Linked DNA regions of Arabidopsis thaliana. The protein of the gene in region 2 interacts with the protein of the main gene of each other region in a biochemical or structural test. Each region holds a gene or a part of one and is shown on either strand. Other genes may lie near its edges.

Region 1 (3,921 bases), on a different chromosome or scaffold from region 2:
ACAATACAATTTGGTAGTTTCATTTTTAATCAAACTTACTTTTCCTTTGTGCAGGTTGAATGTGAATATGACTGGGTGAAAAGCGTCATTGAGGTGCAGTATCTGACTTTTCCAATAAAACACCTTACTTGAATTACTTCTCATCTCAGTTTATTTTAGGAATTCACCGACAGTCTGATCAATGAGGAGGTATTACTCCCGGAACAAAAGGTTGCGTTCGAGGTAAGCAAGCAAGAGCTGGAATTGATTTGATGAATTCATTTGAGGGAGGTCTCTAAAATCACTCACCCATATGTTTCCTTTTTTCAGGAGTTTGTCAAAGAGAAAAGTGACAAAGCTATGGCAGCTTATGACACGGTATCATGTTTCATACCCTCTGCTACAGAGCCGCACATATACTTAACAATGGATTCTACAATTGGCAGGCACAAGAAGCCCTAGAGAAAGCAAAGGAAGGACTGAGCGAAGAAACAAAAAAAGCCTATCAAGAAATGAGGTTGTACAAGTTTTATCCATTGCCTTCACCAGACACACCCCACACTGCAGGAATTGAGAAGGTACAAAACAAATCCAACTTAGTTTGTCAATGGAACTCTGAATATTATTGCCAAAATCTGATATAAGTTTGTTGGTCTCTGTGCAGTCCCCGTTCATAAACAGGTACTTCGGGAAGGCTCACGAAGTCCTGTAACCGTTTCTCCTAAACCCAGGAACCTTTTTGTTTCGGCAAACTTTATGAACAACTGAGAATCAAAGAAACCACTATGGGATTGTTTAGGCCAAAGATACAACACACTTACAAATAACAATTGTCTTTTTGGAGCCGGATTTTTTTTTTTTGTTCTCTGTTTTCTCGCTTCTTTGATGCAACATGCAACCAACCAAATAGTGTTGAGAGACTAAGCAAAGATTAATCTAAAGAGAAAGAGTAACAACAAAAGTAACAACAAATGGGGGCATTTCCTCCACTTCAGTAACGAGAAGTTGAAGAAGAAGAAGAAGCAGCAGCAGAATCTGACACGGTAGAAGTTCTTTTTTTCCTCTCTTCCTCATATTCAGCATCATCAGTCTCAAGCTGGAATCTACAGACAGGACAAGAGTTCCTTGTTCCTAACCATGGCACAATACAATCTCCGTGGTAACAATGTCCACACGGTAACTTCTTACCAGTTTCTCCCATCACCATTCCATCTTTACACACAGCACAAACCATAACCATCTCTCCCTCCGAAGAACTAACCTCGAAAGTCTCCAATGCCTCTATTGCCGATTTCGCAGCCGGTGGTGCGCCTCTCCTTCCTCCGCCACCACCACCATCTCCTTCTGCTAAATTCTGTAGCAAAGCTTCGTATCCGGCTGCATCGTCTATGTAATCAGCCGGATTTCCTGCGTATCGATCTGATTCCATACGGAACTCAATCGAATTGTCTTCGATTCCCATCAAAATCTCAGCCCAATCGAGAATTCTGTTTCTTCCGGTTCTCGACTGCGTCGTCGTGAGAGGAAAACGATTTCTCCTCCTCAGATCATCTTCTTCGTCTTCTTCGTCGTTGACGGTTAAATTCTCTTCCTCATCCTCTTCTTCTTCATCTCCATCATCTTCATCTTCGTCTTCGTCATCGTCGATTTCGTTTCTACTATTGAGCTCCAACCTGAAGAAATCATCTTCGTAAGATAAAACATCAAGGTGTCGTGGTGGTGAACGCTGAGAAGGCGCGTGGGCTAACAAGCGGAGCATCTGGAGGAAATGCGAGCCAATACTGGAGTCTTCTACATTCAGATCTGGGGAAAGTGGCTGCGGTGGCGCCGGCGATGAATAAGCGGCGGGAGTCGGTTGAATTGACTCGACGAAACCTTTGTTACATTCGCAGCACACGACAAAGTCATCTAAGGTTTCAACGACGACGCGTTTGTTGCAGTGATAGCACCAGTGCGACGCCGTGGCATCCGGGGAAGACGACGGAGCATCGGACATCGTGCAATTAATCGTCGGGTTTTCAGGCTTTCGGGTCCGGATTCGGATCCGATAAGCCGATTAAGAGGATGGAGAAAATAAAAGAAAAAGGTCTCTCTGTATTATTATTATCGAATTTTTAAGACATTAGAGAATCCTGCTCATTTACCCACTTGACCCACCCACAATATCATAATATTTTCTTCTATATATGATATCACCATCATCATAAATTCATAATACTTACAATTTAATCAAACTGTTCAATTGCTGTCAAACATAAAAATCAAATTGTTCAATCCAATTTAAACCAGCTTCCAAATCAAAACTGACTTGCACTTTTATCCAAAAACTTGATAAGATAAAGTACCATTTGACCCATGAAATTTTGTCATATCGAAAAGCATAATTTTAATTTCTTTTGACAACAATACAAACATATAACTCGAATACATAACTTTGTAATAGCGATACAATTGTTTCAACAGCACCCATAAAATAAAATAAGATTAAAAAACCCAAATCGTTACAATAAATTACAATACAAAGATGGCCTCCTCGTCTCAAGCATAGTCAGACCCACCATGAAGGTGATACATAGCGAAGTCTCTCCATTCACCAAATGTTGCAAATGGCAAAAGACCGTTTATGACTGGAAGAACAAACAGAATCACCACATACACGACACTGCGCCTTGCCCAATATGGAAACATACTGTTACAACGGTTCGATCTGGTCTCTTGAGTCACGTTTATAGGACCGAACATTAGACCATACAAAGCCAATGTGAAGACATTTGCAACGAATTGCAAAAGGCAAAACACTTCCCAAACTATTAGCCAGAGTTTGCCATCACCGCCCAATGTGTCCACACACAATTTACCCGATACACCGCAAAATATACCGAGGAAAAGAACGATGAAACTTATCGGCATTGTCTGCTTCGTACCTGATGATCGTTTGTTTAGAAAGTAAGTGAAGACAATGATCATTAACACACCGAAAAATATCTGCACCCAAACTCGAACCCGGCAGATGAAGGTGTTGAAGCCTGAGTTAATCGATGAAACTTGTTTAGGAACCCACCACGACGAACTTTTCTCCTCGGATTGGTCGCATACTGAGGTAGCATCCTCGATTCTCTTTATTGAAAAATTGTAAACGCCAAGTACCATAGAAGCCAACATGCTGAAGACACTTACGAGGAGCCAATCCATGATTCTTGTGACCATCTCTTCTTTTCTTGTATCTTCTAATTCGGTTTTGAATTTCTCCGCTCTGAATGCAGCTTTCGAAACATCCAACTCTAGCGCCGCTTTCCCCAGGTTGTTTGATTCAAATTTTAATCCTAGCGCCGTCTCTTTGCACCTTAACTCTCTTATTTGAAGACCAATCTCCACGGTCTTTAGGTCGTTTGCTCGTGTTTGCTCTTTTAAAAACCTTTCGTCTGTGGTCAAAGCCATTGCTGAACTTCTAGGAGGGACACAAGAGAGTTGTAGAGTCTCTTCGAAAAGGGCAAGCTCATTCATCAAAGAGGTTGCTGTTGCACTGCCTTGCATCACTTCATAAGCAGACGTAGCAGATGAAGTCTCCCTCTCAAATAGCTCGGTGTCTGAGCATCCGTCTATGGTAGAGCGATCTAAATTACAACTCCCACCATCATTATTGTTTGACTGATGTGGATTTGCACATTCATTGGTCAATTTAAGGATCTTTAGAGTACTGCTGAATGTTTGCTCAAAGTTGGTCGCAAAGGAACCAAGCTTATTACCATAAACCTGTAACCACAACATTATGAATCAGAAAGTCTATAAATATAAAAATGCGGAAAACATAGAGGGGGATTTTAGCTTACATTGGCTAATGATTCTTCGACAAGAGTAGCAAAGATCTGGAGAGCATAATCAATGAAGTTCTTGTATCACTACCAAAACGATGGCAAAAGAAAGATTGAACAGAAACTGAGA
Region 2 (7,694 bases):
AAAACTAAAATGTTTGGCCATGTGATTTAAACTTCACAAAGCATGCATGATTTTATATAGACATCATGCCATCCCTAGTTGCGTATCCAAATTTAAAAGGGTTACTCTTATAGTATTGATACGACCAATTTATGAAAATGTGTCACACAATCACTTTGTTATGAGTTAATTTAGAGGTGTTAAGTAATTGTATATAATTTCACTTATGACACAAATTCGTCAATTCTCATGAATTTTACATTATAAAATGATTTTTTTTTTTCAATGATCTTGCTACATGAACATACTAATGACTTATTGCATGGGTCGGACCTTTTGTATAAGCCAAGGTTTGACTTTTCATGACCGATTCACATCACCGCATTTTGATTCTAACATTTAATTATATAAAGTAGAAGCTAAGAAACCGTAAGACATATCTACATCACTGATACAAATTCTTCTTGAGGAGTGTTCCAAGGCAAGCATAATAATACAAAGTTGCTTTCCAAATGATGAACCCTACTTTTAATAAATTGTTCTCTCTCTATATGTAACTCCCACTAAAGAACATAGACGGCAAATTTGTTTTTATTGATTCACGAAGCTATAAGATCTTTTGTAATGTCTACTAGAATCACGCAGCGAGTACCAGAACTTTGATGGTTCCTTGACTATTCGCAGTCAACATCGTGGGACTATCACTCTTCCAGCAAACCGCACTAATAAAGTAGGAACCTGCCTCTTCCTCTGCATCGTCCATGTCTGGCGATCCAAATCTGTGCGATGTCACGGGTCTCGTGATTTCCTGCATCGCATCATTCACATTTTAAAATACTTGAGCAACGACAGGTTGAAAATCTGTGAATCATGAATGAAAAATGCTAAAGTTGAGAGCAGAGGTTTCGGATTTGTGAACCTTGTGATATACATATACTTCGTTTGTCTCGCTTCCACAGGCGAGATACTCGCTGTTCACTGTGAGACCCACAAAGTTCTTCTCGTTAGTATGTCCTCTGAATGTTCGAACCTGAAAAGTAAAATTGAACAACATAGTCAAGACAAGTTTTTCTTTTTGACTGAATCTGCAAGATTGGCTCGGGCAGTAATCTAACTGGCAAGTTGTCTTTGACATCCCATAAGCGTAGTGTGCTATCTGTGGACGCAGAAGCGAGCTCGTTGTTGGACAAAAATTTAACATAGGAAACTGCTTTCTTGTGTCCACTGAAGACATGAAGTGGTTGGCTTATGTTTCTTAGATCGTAATAATGGATGTGATGATCAGCTGATCCGACCTGTGATAAGTCAACAGGCTTAAACGTCTAAGTCTCTCTATCTAATTAAAGATTATATCTAGAGACGTGTGATAGTGTCATGCTGATCATGAGTGGTAGCGAATAAATGTGAGATGCAAAGTTGAGGCGTGGAAGTATATACCGCAATGTAGTTGCTTGAGCCAGGATTGTACTTGACACAACATATGTTTGCTTTCATATCAATATTAATCACACTTGCTTCCTGCCTCGTGCACCAAACTTTAACCTGGATCAAACACACAGCACAATTGGTTAATCTATGAGACATGATTTAACAGATGCAATAATGCATGGTTGAGGATTAACTAGTAGTGAATTGACTTAAAAGGAGCCCACTGGTATAATATGCTTTTGTCAGAATTAGAAATCCAGTGAATTTTTCAATAACGTTTAATTAAATTTGGACAAATGAAGCTACAAAATTTCAAGGTAAAATCTACTATATACAAGTGTCCAGTTTCGTTTGTTTCCTAATGTATAGCCACCACAGATACACTAAGGGGAAAATTTTGCTGAAAATTTAAGAAACCAACAAACATTCAATGTAGGAAGGGCTACATATGACCAATCCCCAAGTTGGGAAGAACAACTCAAAGAAAAGTTTAAGAAGTAGTAGAAAAGATTCATGAGAACACAATGTACTAATGAGCAAGTAGGAGATTCTCCAGTTTTGTTTCACAATATGTCTCTTTAGTTCGTCGTAGAAATTAGACAAATCCGTGACCAAGTTAGTTATAAGAGCTAGGAGATATCTAAAAGTAGTATTCTTTTTATATGAGACATAGCCCAATGTGAGATGAAAGGTGATAACGGAAAATATGGAGATATTTACCTTGCAGTCGTCACTACCAGATACAAGCATTGATGGTTCTGTTCGTGAAAAGTCAACACTCCAGGCACGTTTTTCGTGCTCTTCATACTCCATAAGACTCTGCCTCAGTTTACATAAAAATTCAAATACGCTGCAGAATTCATGAGATGAATATCTTATAGGTGCGATGTTAGATACTTTGGGTAAAGTACTCACCTGCCTAGTAGTTACATCCCACACTGTTACTATTCCTTCATAATCACTGCTTGCTATGTGATTTTTTTCATGCTTATTCCAACTCAAGCAACTAAGTTTAGACCGAGTTGACATCTCCACAATCGGACACTGCATATCTGCTGGTTCATTTACAACCTGAAAAGTAGCAGCCGATAATCAATCAGTTCAGCGTGGTCCATTGGATAAAACAGAAAATTAAAACCAAAAATTTGATTAGCTTTGATTTATATTCTTCTACGCAATACAAAAGTGTAAAATGGCTATCTTGCATCAAAGCTAGAATTTCCCAAGAGCATAACTTAGTTTCATTATCAACGAAGCTTTCTTAGAATTGAGATGCATGATCAGTTTCACAAAAGCATAAGGTTGGACAAGAAGATTCAATTGGTATGTAATTGAATGCACTCCAAGATTTATGAACGTACCGAAGAGAAGTCAAAAACCTTTATACATCTAGAAACACCAGCAGTGGCAAACAGCTCATCATCACGATCAAACTCTATGCTGAAAAGGAACAGCACCCTCTTCATCAGCAAAATCAGTAAGATGGTACATCAAATTACAGGTAAACTAGAGGTCCAGGCAAAGCATAAAGCATGTAAACTATGGAAGACCATAAACCAAAGCACATAGAGAGAAAAAGATATGAGCCCCGGAGCTCCCAGACCATAAACTAAAAATATATATCTTTCGTCTCTTCATTGAGAAGAGACACTTTCATATAAAAGATCGCAAACCGATTCTATATATTCCGACATGGATAAGGATAACATAGTGTTCCATCTTTTAGAAAATTCTCCTCAAGTGGCCTGCTGACTACACAACCTTCTCCCTACCATGTCAGCAGTTTTATCTTCATACTATTCACTGGCTTAGAATTACACAGCAACGAATCCCATAGTAATAATTGCGTCTATCAATACATTAAACAAAACTTAATCACTTAAGGGTCTATTTTGATATATTCGGAGACATTCTTTTGGTACCTATCATCTGTTATCTGATCAACGAACAAGGAATAGAAAATTCACCTTGATACAATGTTGGCTGAATGAAATATATCCCCATGCCGGATTTCTGCTATAACTCTTAGACGACTGTGAATAAAGAGTGCAATTAAAACCCCAACTAATTCGAAAACACTCTTTATGTACGGCTAGACCGATTGAAAAGGGATAGTCACTCCTCTACCTGTAGCGAGTGAAGGTAGTCAACACAGATTGAAAATCTGCAAGGCCGTTGCTATAGCCTTCCCTCCGTACTACACTCTTATCATTTTCTTGTTTACTATTTGGTTGGTCTGCCAACTGACGCCGCTTTTGGAGGTAACATTCTTGTAAATCATTGAACTACAAGACAAGACACTTTAACAGAATTAGGCAATCTGTGCATATATCAACAAGCAGTTACAGAGAGATTAAAGGACCATGCAGGTTTTTTCAAGAAAACTACTATAATTGTGATTGCATAGTATTCACAGAACTGTTAGTGTGTCTAGAGAACATAGTGACTTTTTGTTGCTATAGTACCAGAGAGACAAGAAGCGGCTACTATCACTAAGCAGTAGATATAAAGTCCAGAAAGCTATTTCTACTTTTACGTGCAAACAATACGAAATCAATCTCTCTGAAGTCCAATCGGCTTTTTATAAAGACCACCAAAAATGTGGGCCTTAATCTAAGGTATCTTTTCCGTAAGAAGATTCATCCTCTACCCACAACCACTTTCAATTTCTCGAGCTGTCAATCCAGATGACCAAGAGCTGAGTAGCTAGGCATGGTAGTAACTGTAACACAATCACTGGGGCCTAATTGTAGTAATTATTCTTATTCTTTAATAGACAAATATCTTAAACTTTAATGCCATTGTCCTTTTACCATTTCAGCATAAAGATGTTGAGTAGACAAGGAGGAACAAACCTGAGCATGAATCCGTTTCTTTCTAGCCATTGAGACAGTTGACTGATTCAAACTTTGCGAATCTGACCCACTCAGCGCATCCTTCTTTGGTAGCCCATGAGAGCTTCCTTGTGCCTTCCCCTCTACCTTTTTGTTTTGATAATTGCCTACAAAATTTCCTCCTCTTATGCTGAGAGAATTGGAGTTGAAACCAATCTGGTTCTTCTCATGTGGCCATGCATTTCTTGTGCTTGGATCATCTCCGAGCATCCGCAACTTTACAGAATATCTGTCCCTAGCTCGGTATAAATCTATTCTATGTCTCTCAACGGCATTTATATCTTCTTTAATATACTGGAGATCAGTTTGCACCTACATTAAGATAGAGAAGACATAAATGACAGAATTCTATAATATTCTGAGATCTCATCTAACATTCAGGGGTTATACGTCTCATGAATAGTTGGATAGATCATACATCTATTGATAGAAACATGGTTTATGGCTTTCTTTTACAACAACTATACAGTCTAAACCCAGTGAAGATTTTGAAGCAAATGGAATGAAGAGCAACGAGAATAATTATCAATAGGTAGCCCAATGCTACTCCATAATTCAGACAAACCAACCTCATTTAGTTCATCAACTTTTTGCTTCCTTAGACAATGCAAAAAGTCCAAAAGTATCTGCATGTTCCTCTCAGCTTCTTCCTGTTCCATTTTTCTCTTCCTTTCCGCAAGAAGTGTCAGAAGATTATCAACCTCCTTAATTGACACATCACAACCCTGTCTAAGTATGAACGCAGGAAGTCAATATTTGATCAAAAGAAATGACTTAGAATTGCTTTTTACTCCAATAATAATTCTGAGAAAGCAAACTTAAAGAGGAAAAAATGAAACATAAAAAGCTTGTTAAGAACCGACCCTTTGTAGTGCTTCCCGAAACTGATCCAAGGGCGATGCAGTTTTTGACACATGCCGAGCTGAAGTTTTCTTCAATAGCTACACAATTGATACATAAACGTCATATAATAAGCTGCATTCCAGTGATAAATAGTTTCAATACACTATCATTCCTATAAACATGCTTCTATTTAGCTGTAATAAGCAGAATCCTACCACAATACTACACATCAAAAACAAAACAAAACCTTCCTAAGAAAATCTAATGGCAAGGTTCATTGGAATCGATTAAAGACTAAGCTAGCTTACTTGTTTCCACAAAAACCACGACAAAAACCAAACTTGATTACAAGCTAAGACTCAAACAAGCAACACCCGAACTTGAACTGAAAAGCTAAGGACCAAACACAAATTACGAGTAAAATTAGAAAAAGAAACCTTATCGAGCAAGAAATTAGGGTAAAGCTGATTATTGGTGAGGTGTTGGCTACAACAGGGACAATCACTCTTGTTCCTAAGATGTGTGATGATACACATATAGCAGAAACTATGACCACAAGCCGTGAGGAAAGCATCTTTAATAATCTGCATACAAATCGGACAAAGCAAGTCTTTATCCAGATCCGGTGCTCCAATCTCAGAACCGCCGCTTCCTCCGTCGTCATTTTCATGACGATTAGCACCTTCACCAACTGAAGATGTTCTCGGGTCAGGTTTCACCGCTGGAACAACCGGATCCGTCGAAATCTCTTCCATTTTGCTTTCAAAAGATTTCTTCGATTGTGATTTTGGTTTTTGAGAAAATCGGAATTGTGAGAAAAGAGTGGTTTGGGTATGACGTCGGAGATGAAGGAGGAGTGAGGCTGAGGTGTGGTGGGATCCACCGTGGTTCTTTTCTGAGGTGACAAATCCTACACGTTCTGGTCTACGCGCTTCTTTTCGCGCGTGTGTCTGGCGTTTCTCCAAGCGCTGGTACGGTTTAATTATCCGGCTTCTAATTTATAGTCCGGTTCAATGAAATTTCTTACAATTACCACGACGGTCTAATTTAATTTCTTACAACCATTCATTTTATTTCTTACTATTTGAAATGAATAAGTTGGGAATTTCAATCCATTCAACCGGAGCATAACCCTAGAAATAGAATAAGTTTTGAAGGATTCGGTTTAATAATTTTGGAATAAACCATTTTTATTTCAGTTCTTAAATTTTGTTACTGTAAAAAATGACTGAAAAGTGAAATATATTTTAATTTTCCCATCACTGGAAACGTTCCCTCCATTCTTTTGCTTGTCTGGGAAACCCAAAGAGACTGTGACGGAGAAGAGAAATGAGCTAAATAAATTCCTCTCTTTGATTCACCGGAACCCTAGAAATCCTCTTCTTAATTCTTTCAAAGGTGCGCTGTTTTCACTAGATATCGCTGTTGTAATTGTTGTTGATTCGGAGCTAGGTTTTGTTTTTGTCTCTCTTTCGGAGAATTTGCATGAAGCTAGGATTTGTCTGTTGATAGTTGTATGGTTTTGGCTGCGTTGTTTCTCTCTTGAAAGTCTTGTTATGCTACTGTATGACACACTCGAATGAGTTTTTGTTTGTGTAATGTTTCTCAATTTTGAAGGCGACCAACAGTTAAAGGTGCCATTTTTTTTCCAGATTAAGTTTGTTCCTCATCTGAAATTTATACCATTTCTCGCGATTTAGCAGGATATGCCCAGAAATTAAAATCTTAGAACGACAATGGTGGTAAAGTTTTTAGCTTTTTACCTTTTGGAGTTGTCTTCTTAATTTGGTGTTTTTCTTTTCTTTCTTAGTCTCCTGAGCATTGTGTTTTGGACTGGTTTTTGCACACTGTAACCAACCTCCACTTTTCTCTCTTGCAGATTATTTTCCCCTGGAAGGATGGAGACATCTTCATCTCTGCCACTGTCACCCATAAGTATAGAACCAGAACAGCCCAGCCATCGAGATTATGACATCACAACTAGACGTGGGGTTGGAACCACAGGCAACCCAATAGAATTGTGCACCAATCACTTTAATGTTTCTGTGAGACAGCCGGATGTAGTATTTTACCAGTACACTGTAAGATTCATTAGTCACTTTTCTGCATTCTTTCATCAGTGTCTGTGCGTGTGTGAGATGTTTGACATATCGGTACCTTTTTTGCAGGTTAGTATCACCACAGAAAACGGTGATGCTGTTGATGGGACAGGAATAAGCAGAAAGCTTATGGACCAACTATTCAAGACTTACTCTTCTGATCTTGATGGTAAAAGGTTGGCATATGATGGAGAGAAGACTTTATATACTGTTGGTCCTCTACCACAGAACGAATTTGACTTTCTAGTCATCGTGGAAGGGTCATTTTCAAAACGGTATGTCCCTCTTATCTGGATTGATATTTAATCGTTTCAAGGTGTCAAGATAGATCTTGTTGATCTTCTAACTAACGCAGTCTTGTTAAGTTTATAGTGATTGTGGTGTCTCTGATGGTGGTAGTTCTTCCGGTACTTGCAAGCGATCAAAACGTTCTTTCTTGCCAAGAAGTTAC
Region 3 (6,420 bases), 440 kb from region 2:
ACCCAGTCACCCACTTGATTTTAGACTTTTTAGTGTTTGTGGTTGCATCTTTTTTGGTAAATCTGGCTGTCTCGCCAATTTTGCTTTGCTCTAGTGATCCAATCAAAATAATTTCTGATTCTCTTTCTTTTAGAAATAATTTTTCCGAACATAAAAGTTTAAGAAATTTAACTTTAATAACGAAATTCATTATGTATAAAATAATTCTCGTGAAATTGTAAGAACTAAGAAGCATATCAAATGCTTATCTTTGATCAAAAAAAAATAAAAAATGCTTATCTTTTGTTGTATCAGATAGAAAGTGAAAATATTTAAAGAAGTGTACAAACAAGGACATAATCTTTTTTCTAGTGTGTCAAGTACTGACTCAAATTAAAGAACACAGCGAATTTCACGGCTTAGGGCTTCGGGTACTTATATAGTACTAATGATTATTTTCCAAGATCCTATATTTGCCAACTCACGTTTTAATGTATACCTAAATAATTTGTTTAAAAAAATAATTAATTCAGTTCTTTTGTTTGTTTAATTATCAATAATCATCTAGAGATTCAGACGTAACATATTCTATAATTATTTTATTTTTCAGAACCTTATCTCTTTGTTGAAGATACAAATATAAACGTACGACAAAATCGACCTATATCTACTACACAATAAACATATGAGAACCGAAATGAATGATGTTGTCATGTGTCGCTATCGCTCCATGTATCGCTTTCGCCTTCTCCATCGTCGCTTGCTACAGCCTGATATAACAAGTCCGAAATGTAAGTGCTTTAATGACCAAAATGGTACTTGCAAACTGAAACGTAAGATTATAAATGTGAATAATGTATGGAACCTGTCGGATAGAGTTTGCCTTCTCTAGAATCACGCTAATATTGGTGTTCATTGTAGTTTCTGATGATGATGTCTTTGTCCTGACCACACGTCTCAAGTTGAATTGCTGTTATGATTCAAAAGGTTGTTGTTGGTTAAGAAAAATGCATTTTATGACTTTGTGGAAACAGAAATGAGAATTGGAGGATCAAAAAATCATTTCTCCCATTTCATTCCTATACAAACGAAACTAAAAACATGTTCAAAATATATTTCCATTTCGATTAAGAGGGAACCGGGACAAAAATGAAATACGAAAACAAATGTATATATTTTTAGTTTTAAGGGTTTGAGTTTTTTTTTTTTTTAATTATCGATTATGTAAATATGTTCCTTAATAAAGGTTACTTTGAATTAATAGAATAGGGAATGCATTTTCATATACCACAGAAATTTTCTATATAGCTAAAATATAAAGCAAGAATAAAAGACTCACTTTAGTTCGAATTTGATGCAAGAAGTCTCCAGCTTCTGTCTCATTTGTGTTGCCATGACTTTGCTTATAATCCCTCACATTGTTCTTCAGATGTACCTATCAACCATCACATAAAATACCTTATACCAAAAAGATGAAAAAAAAAAAACAGTAAAAAGGAGAAGAAAACTTAATTCTCCATACCTTGGTTACAAGTTTAGGATCAGAAACAGTGACAATGTGTGGTTCTTTTTTCTTGACTGCAGTTAAAGAATTGTTGTTCTTCTCAAATGCCTGTGTGAGAGCATCCTTTAGAGACTGCTTGTTGTTATCCTCGAATCCAGCTGACGGTATTTTCGAAACCATCCACTGTAACGGTGGGAGAGGCGGTGGTAATGGCTCAGCTGGATTTTGGAGGTAAGAGACATTTTCAACTAAACAACCATTTGTTGTTTCAATCTTTGGAAATGGAACTGGTAGAGAAGAAGCTTCAGCATTGACTCTGTGAAACGAATCATAGAGCTCTTGTTGCCTCTTGCTTTCTCGGATACCTTCTGATTCTTCTTCCCACTGTTGCTCAGACATTGACACAGAGCGATTGTCATTGTCACTGTTGTCTGAAATGTAAGAAGAAGATCTACAGAAAGTGTCCTTGTCTGAATCAGAATCAGGAAGTGAAGTAGCAATAGTCTCTGGCACCAACTGAAACGAAGAAAATGTATATTCATCTGGAAGTTTTAGCTGTAGTTCAGAACTTGGCAAGGTTTCTGAGGATTTGAAAGATATTTTCATGTGATCAAGTGGAGGAGATGAAGTAAACCAATCAAAAGGAGCCTTATAATCTTCTCTTAAGTGCTCTTGGAAGGTTTCAGAATCAATGTCTTCAACAATCTCTGGAATAGTTTCTGCTATAATTTTCGGTTTCGATGGTTTCAGTCCTAGGAGATTTCCATTAGTCCATGTTTTAATGGATTCAGTGTCACAAGAACTCTCAACTTCTTCTGATTCTTGATGTTCTTGGATACCACTAATATCATACAAAGGATTTGAGAAGCCATTGGAATAACTATGAGTGCCACTACTTATTTCCGAAGCCGCCCATGGATCTTGATGAATCAGTTCATCAGATTTATATACCGGTGATGATGATAAATGTAGCTCTGATGTAGCAGCACATTTTGTCTCATCAACACTAAAGTTGTTAGAAATCTTCTCTGTTTCTTGCTCTGTAATATCATTGTAAAGATTCTTCTGCACCTCTTTAGTGGCTTGGAAAGCTTCATCATTTTCAGATTCTGAATCGATGGTGTAAAGTGCATCAACAAAATCATCCCCTTCGCTTTCAGTCTCATCCTCATTGTCCATTTCCAGTTCCTTCGGTTTGATATCTTGGACCGCTTCAACCGCTGAATGTTCTTTAAGTCTTGATACCGGTTCAGCATCCAAGACAAAGTTAGTTTCCATTACTTCAGGAGCTTCATCTGTTGCACACTGCAGAACATTGCATTCCACTATCTCAGCTTTCTCGTGCCAACTAACACTAGAAGAACCACGAGCTGTTAAATCTTGAGAAGGACTATCACTTTCACTTTCACTTTCAGAAAGAACTGAAGCAATGGTGCGAGAACCCGGTGTAAACCTTGAAGAAGAAGATACCCTCTTCGGTTTCTCTCCACCACTTCTTGAATCGAAAGAGAAAGAACGATGCTCTTGCAAGTCGGATTTCGACTCAATTTCAATCGTTGAAGCAGTTTTAGAGGTAGAGGTTCGTCCACTGAAGCTTAAAGAAGTACATGTCTTCCTGAACATCATATCATATATTCATGTTTTGAGTCATATATGAAAACATCTCTACAATGTCAAATCCAAATGTCATTACCTGTCACTCTGGTTAGCCACAGAGGCAAGTCTTGATATATCTCGACCGCGTTGTATAGATTTTTTCTTCTGCATCATCCATACAAGTTTAGGTAGCAAACAAGAAAAAGAAGAAACTCTACAAAACATGGTATTAACAGACTGAATCTCTAAAACAAACCTTAATCTCTGAAGGTTTAGAAGCTCTTGATGCTCTTTTGAAATGAGTAGGATCCGAGTATCGTTTCAAACAAGAACCTGGACCATTTATATCAAATCTGACAAAAACCGCTAAGAATCAGCATCATATTTATTATCATCAGTCTAAAACATAGCAGAAACAGTAATAACAAAAAAGAAAATGAGAGTTAAAAGGTGTATATACTTGTCAAGCAAGTGTAACCGCGGAGGTTCCCGGCAATCTTCATATGGAGTCATAATAAACGGTGGCAATTCGTCATACATAAAGTGATTTTGCACATTTGGTATACGAGGATGCCACTCCAGACCTAAAACAGCATGTAAACACTATGTTCATTAACTATACTTAAATTTTCTAAAGAACTCAAATAGTGAAAGATCATGACTTATTTAATTAAGATCCATAAGAAAGACTACTAGTATCATTCATCATCAAATTCTAAACTCAAAAAAGAGTATTTTAAGCTAAGAAGTTAGTGCAAAAGGCATGTGAGCTAGGGCCTACAATAAACTCAACAGGATATAAATTTTTGATTAAAGAACAAACATGTGAATCTAGACATTAAAGAAGATTGACAAGAGAAACAAGACAAAAGAAACCTCCAGTGTATGCAAAATGAATGTGATTTGTTTGTGCAAGCACTGTCTTTTGGATTGTAGGAACTTTAGCTTCTATTTGCTTCAATCTCATCTTCAATTTGTTGCTTCTTGATGCTGTTATCATTACCTCCTCTTGTATTCCATGGAATATCTCTGCTGCGAATCTGAAACAATGTGAGTTTAACATAAAAACTCAGGACAAGTAAGATTGGCTGAGAACCATAAAATAAGCAAATGAAGAAGACCAAACACAGCAAAATTAAAGATTTTACAGAGAATCAAAGAAGATCACTGACTCCATATTGTCACATTTTTACTTAAGATTTTTTTTTTTTTAAAAACATTTATAAGTCAATTATAAAAAAAAAGAAACAGAGGAAACAGAGTTGACTTAAAGTACTACTTACTCTGTGAGATCACCGAGTTGACGCAAGATCCCGACGAGTCCAGAAACGGCGACGTCGTCGAGAATCGCTTTAGGGTCTTCACGGTCGACTTTTGTGTGAAGCTCTTTTTGCCCTAAACCGTAGACATTCCTAACTTGGAGCCTAACAAGCGGCATTTGCTCTGTTCTTGAGAAAGATTCCGGAGGAATGATCAGATGGGTTTTGAAGATAAGAAACAAAGATTGAGTTTTTGTGGGTTATGTTGCTTGAGGTGGGTGAGAGATTATGGCAGCTTAACCGCCGAAACGAGAGAGAGAGGGAAAATTTGGAGATTACAAAAAGGTTTTTCGTTGTAAAAAGAGAAAAGAGAGACTCGGAGACATTGCTAACACCGCAAGCCATTCCCTTTTTCAATGTCATCATTTTAACTAAAAGTGCTAAGAGAAAATTACGAAAAAGGGCTTGGAGCAAAAAGAAAGGTACCCATAACCTACCCATATGGAGCGAATCATGATCCAAATTAGTCATTTGTTACTTACATAATTTCCCGAAAATAAACTTTAGTTTTTATAAGAATTTGTTAGTGCTAAACATAAATTATTTAAAAAGAACTATAAACATTTTTAGTCATGTGTATAACCCCTACTTGTAATACTATATTTGTATGCTTAAGTCATCTAATGAGAACTTACTCTGCTTAATCTTCTACTACTAGCTACTAAAACAAAAAACTTCTACTACTTGTAATATTATATCATATACATTTTGCACAAATATGGAGTATAAAACTAGAAGTTAAAGTTTGGATCATTGAATGAGCATTTGAAGACTTCTATTATAAAATAGAAATGCGTTACAGTTTAGATAGCGTTAAAGTTTGAATCATTGAATGAGAATTTGGTCGTTTGCGAGGAAATAGACTTGTTGAGTTGGCTACATATTTATTGGAGAACAAAACTCCCATAAATGAGGCATCAATACATACGTAACACTTGTACTCAAACTCTATAGCTGTGATTTGTTTTTGTTTTTGACACCAACTATATATGAATGATGATGGTACAATTCAAAGATTTTCATAATGAATCTAGTAAAGCGGAAGTGTATGTATTGCCGTAATGGTGTGCCTCTCGCATCCTTGATCTATACAATCAAGTTTGATGTTACAAGAGTTGCATAATATCTTCCATCTACACACGCTGCGTAGTGTGTGCGCGTGTGGGTGAATGTATTCATACATCTATATCTTACACTACTTGAGGACTTGCACACATGCATGTGGATGTGTGACTTACTCCATCCTCGTTTAGGCATATATACACAATAATAAATCATGCACAAGCATTTTAGATCTGTGCTTCTAGAGTTTTGGATCTGGCTCCCATTAACCAAAGCAATTTATCAACTCGAATTCTTTTGTCGTTTTTCTTGATACTAACATATAAATACATTTTATTTATAAACTACAGTTCAGACATATGGATCGAAGATCCACAGTACTACTCCAGTACTCCATACAAGCTAATACACAGTATTAGAAGTAATCAATTCTTATGGTCCTTGGTAGGTATAGTATTATTAAATAAGTGATGCGATTAGATCAATGCATGACTTTTAGCTGGTCGTCTATTTATGGATGCTACCTAAACATAAATTTAATCACATGTCATTTATTATTTATTATTACTCCTAAATTGTTCTGTCCATTAAATATTTTATAAGTTGTTACTTGCTACTCCTATCAACCATTAATGGTAATCTTTGACGCAGATTCTATGAGCTATACTATTGCATTGTTTTCCATCATATATTATCAATCACAAGTAACTCTTCACAAAAAATGGCGGTCAATAAAGTGACACTTACAAAACTCAATGGTTTAAATAAAAACTACAACATTGCTGAAAAATATACATAAATTTTAAACACGAAATTGGTTAACAAAACAAAATTGGCGGTCATCTCATGTTTTTTTTTATATCATAGTAAATCTCGAAATGTGCTTTGATTAAAGATCAGACCATCGAATGGTGCACTAGCATTCTCATATAATTTGACATATAAAATAGTATAAGTAAC

What was found.
Region 1: the proteins of COP1 (region 2) and CIP8 form a complex in vitro, tested with the Arabidopsis thaliana proteins (3 studies listed by BioGRID).
Region 3: the proteins of COP1 (region 2) and AT2G34150 form a complex in vitro, tested with the Arabidopsis thaliana proteins (one study listed by BioGRID).

Annotation. Positions count from the first base shown.
Region 1 is NC_003076.8:25,943,368-25,947,288, forward strand, and holds CIP8 (COP1-interacting protein 8), read right to left. Parts: upstream 2,076-3,921; 5' UTR 1,976-2,075; coding exon 971-1,975; 3' UTR 748-970; coding exon of another isoform or gene 644-747; 3' UTR 624-643; downstream 1-623. Other genes in the region: AT5G64910 (Serine/Threonine-kinase), read left to right, coding at 55-93, 160-222, 310-357, 426-557, 661-747; CPR5 protein, read right to left, coding at 2,518-3,732, 3,810-3,845. UniProt on the Arabidopsis thaliana protein: E3 ubiquitin-protein ligase that mediates ubiquitination and subsequent proteasomal degradation of target proteins. Probably forms a minimal ubiquitin ligase complex in cooperation with the E2 enzyme UBC8.
Region 2 is NC_003071.7:13,976,205-13,983,898, reverse strand, and holds COP1 (Transducin/WD40 repeat-like superfamily protein), read right to left. Parts: upstream 6,019-7,694; 5' UTR 5,900-6,018; coding exon 5,582-5,899; intron 5,243-5,581; coding exon 5,165-5,242; intron 5,031-5,164; coding exon of another isoform or gene 5,027-5,030; coding exon 4,871-5,026; intron 4,614-4,870; coding exon 4,263-4,613; intron 3,693-4,262; coding exon 3,535-3,692; intron 3,441-3,534; coding exon 3,375-3,440; intron 2,848-3,374; coding exon 2,769-2,847; intron 2,479-2,768; coding exon 2,323-2,478; intron 2,227-2,322; coding exon 2,128-2,226; intron 1,522-2,127; coding exon 1,417-1,521; intron 1,275-1,416; coding exon 1,095-1,274; intron 1,010-1,094; coding exon 899-1,009; intron 788-898; coding exon 617-787; 3' UTR 290-616; downstream 1-289. Other genes in the region: AGO6 (Argonaute family protein), read left to right, coding at 7,043-7,225, 7,313-7,518, 7,616-7,694. UniProt on the Arabidopsis thaliana protein: E3 ubiquitin-protein ligase that acts as a repressor of photomorphogenesis and as an activator of etiolation in darkness.
Region 3 is NC_003071.7:14,418,743-14,425,162, forward strand, and holds AT2G34150 (SCAR family protein), read right to left. Parts: upstream 4,730-6,420; 5' UTR 4,518-4,729; coding exon 4,363-4,517; intron 4,120-4,362; coding exon 3,956-4,119; intron 3,950-3,955; exon of another isoform or gene 3,664-3,949; coding exon 3,540-3,663; intron 3,433-3,539; coding exon 3,336-3,432; exon of another isoform or gene 3,305-3,335; coding exon of another isoform or gene 3,245-3,304; coding exon 3,177-3,244; intron 3,099-3,176; coding exon 1,502-3,098; intron 1,415-1,501; coding exon 1,319-1,414; intron 950-1,318; coding exon 845-949; intron 750-844; coding exon 690-749; 3' UTR 521-689; downstream 1-520. UniProt on the Arabidopsis thaliana protein: Involved in regulation of actin and microtubule organization. Part of a WAVE complex that activates the Arp2/3 complex. Regulates trichome branch positioning and expansion.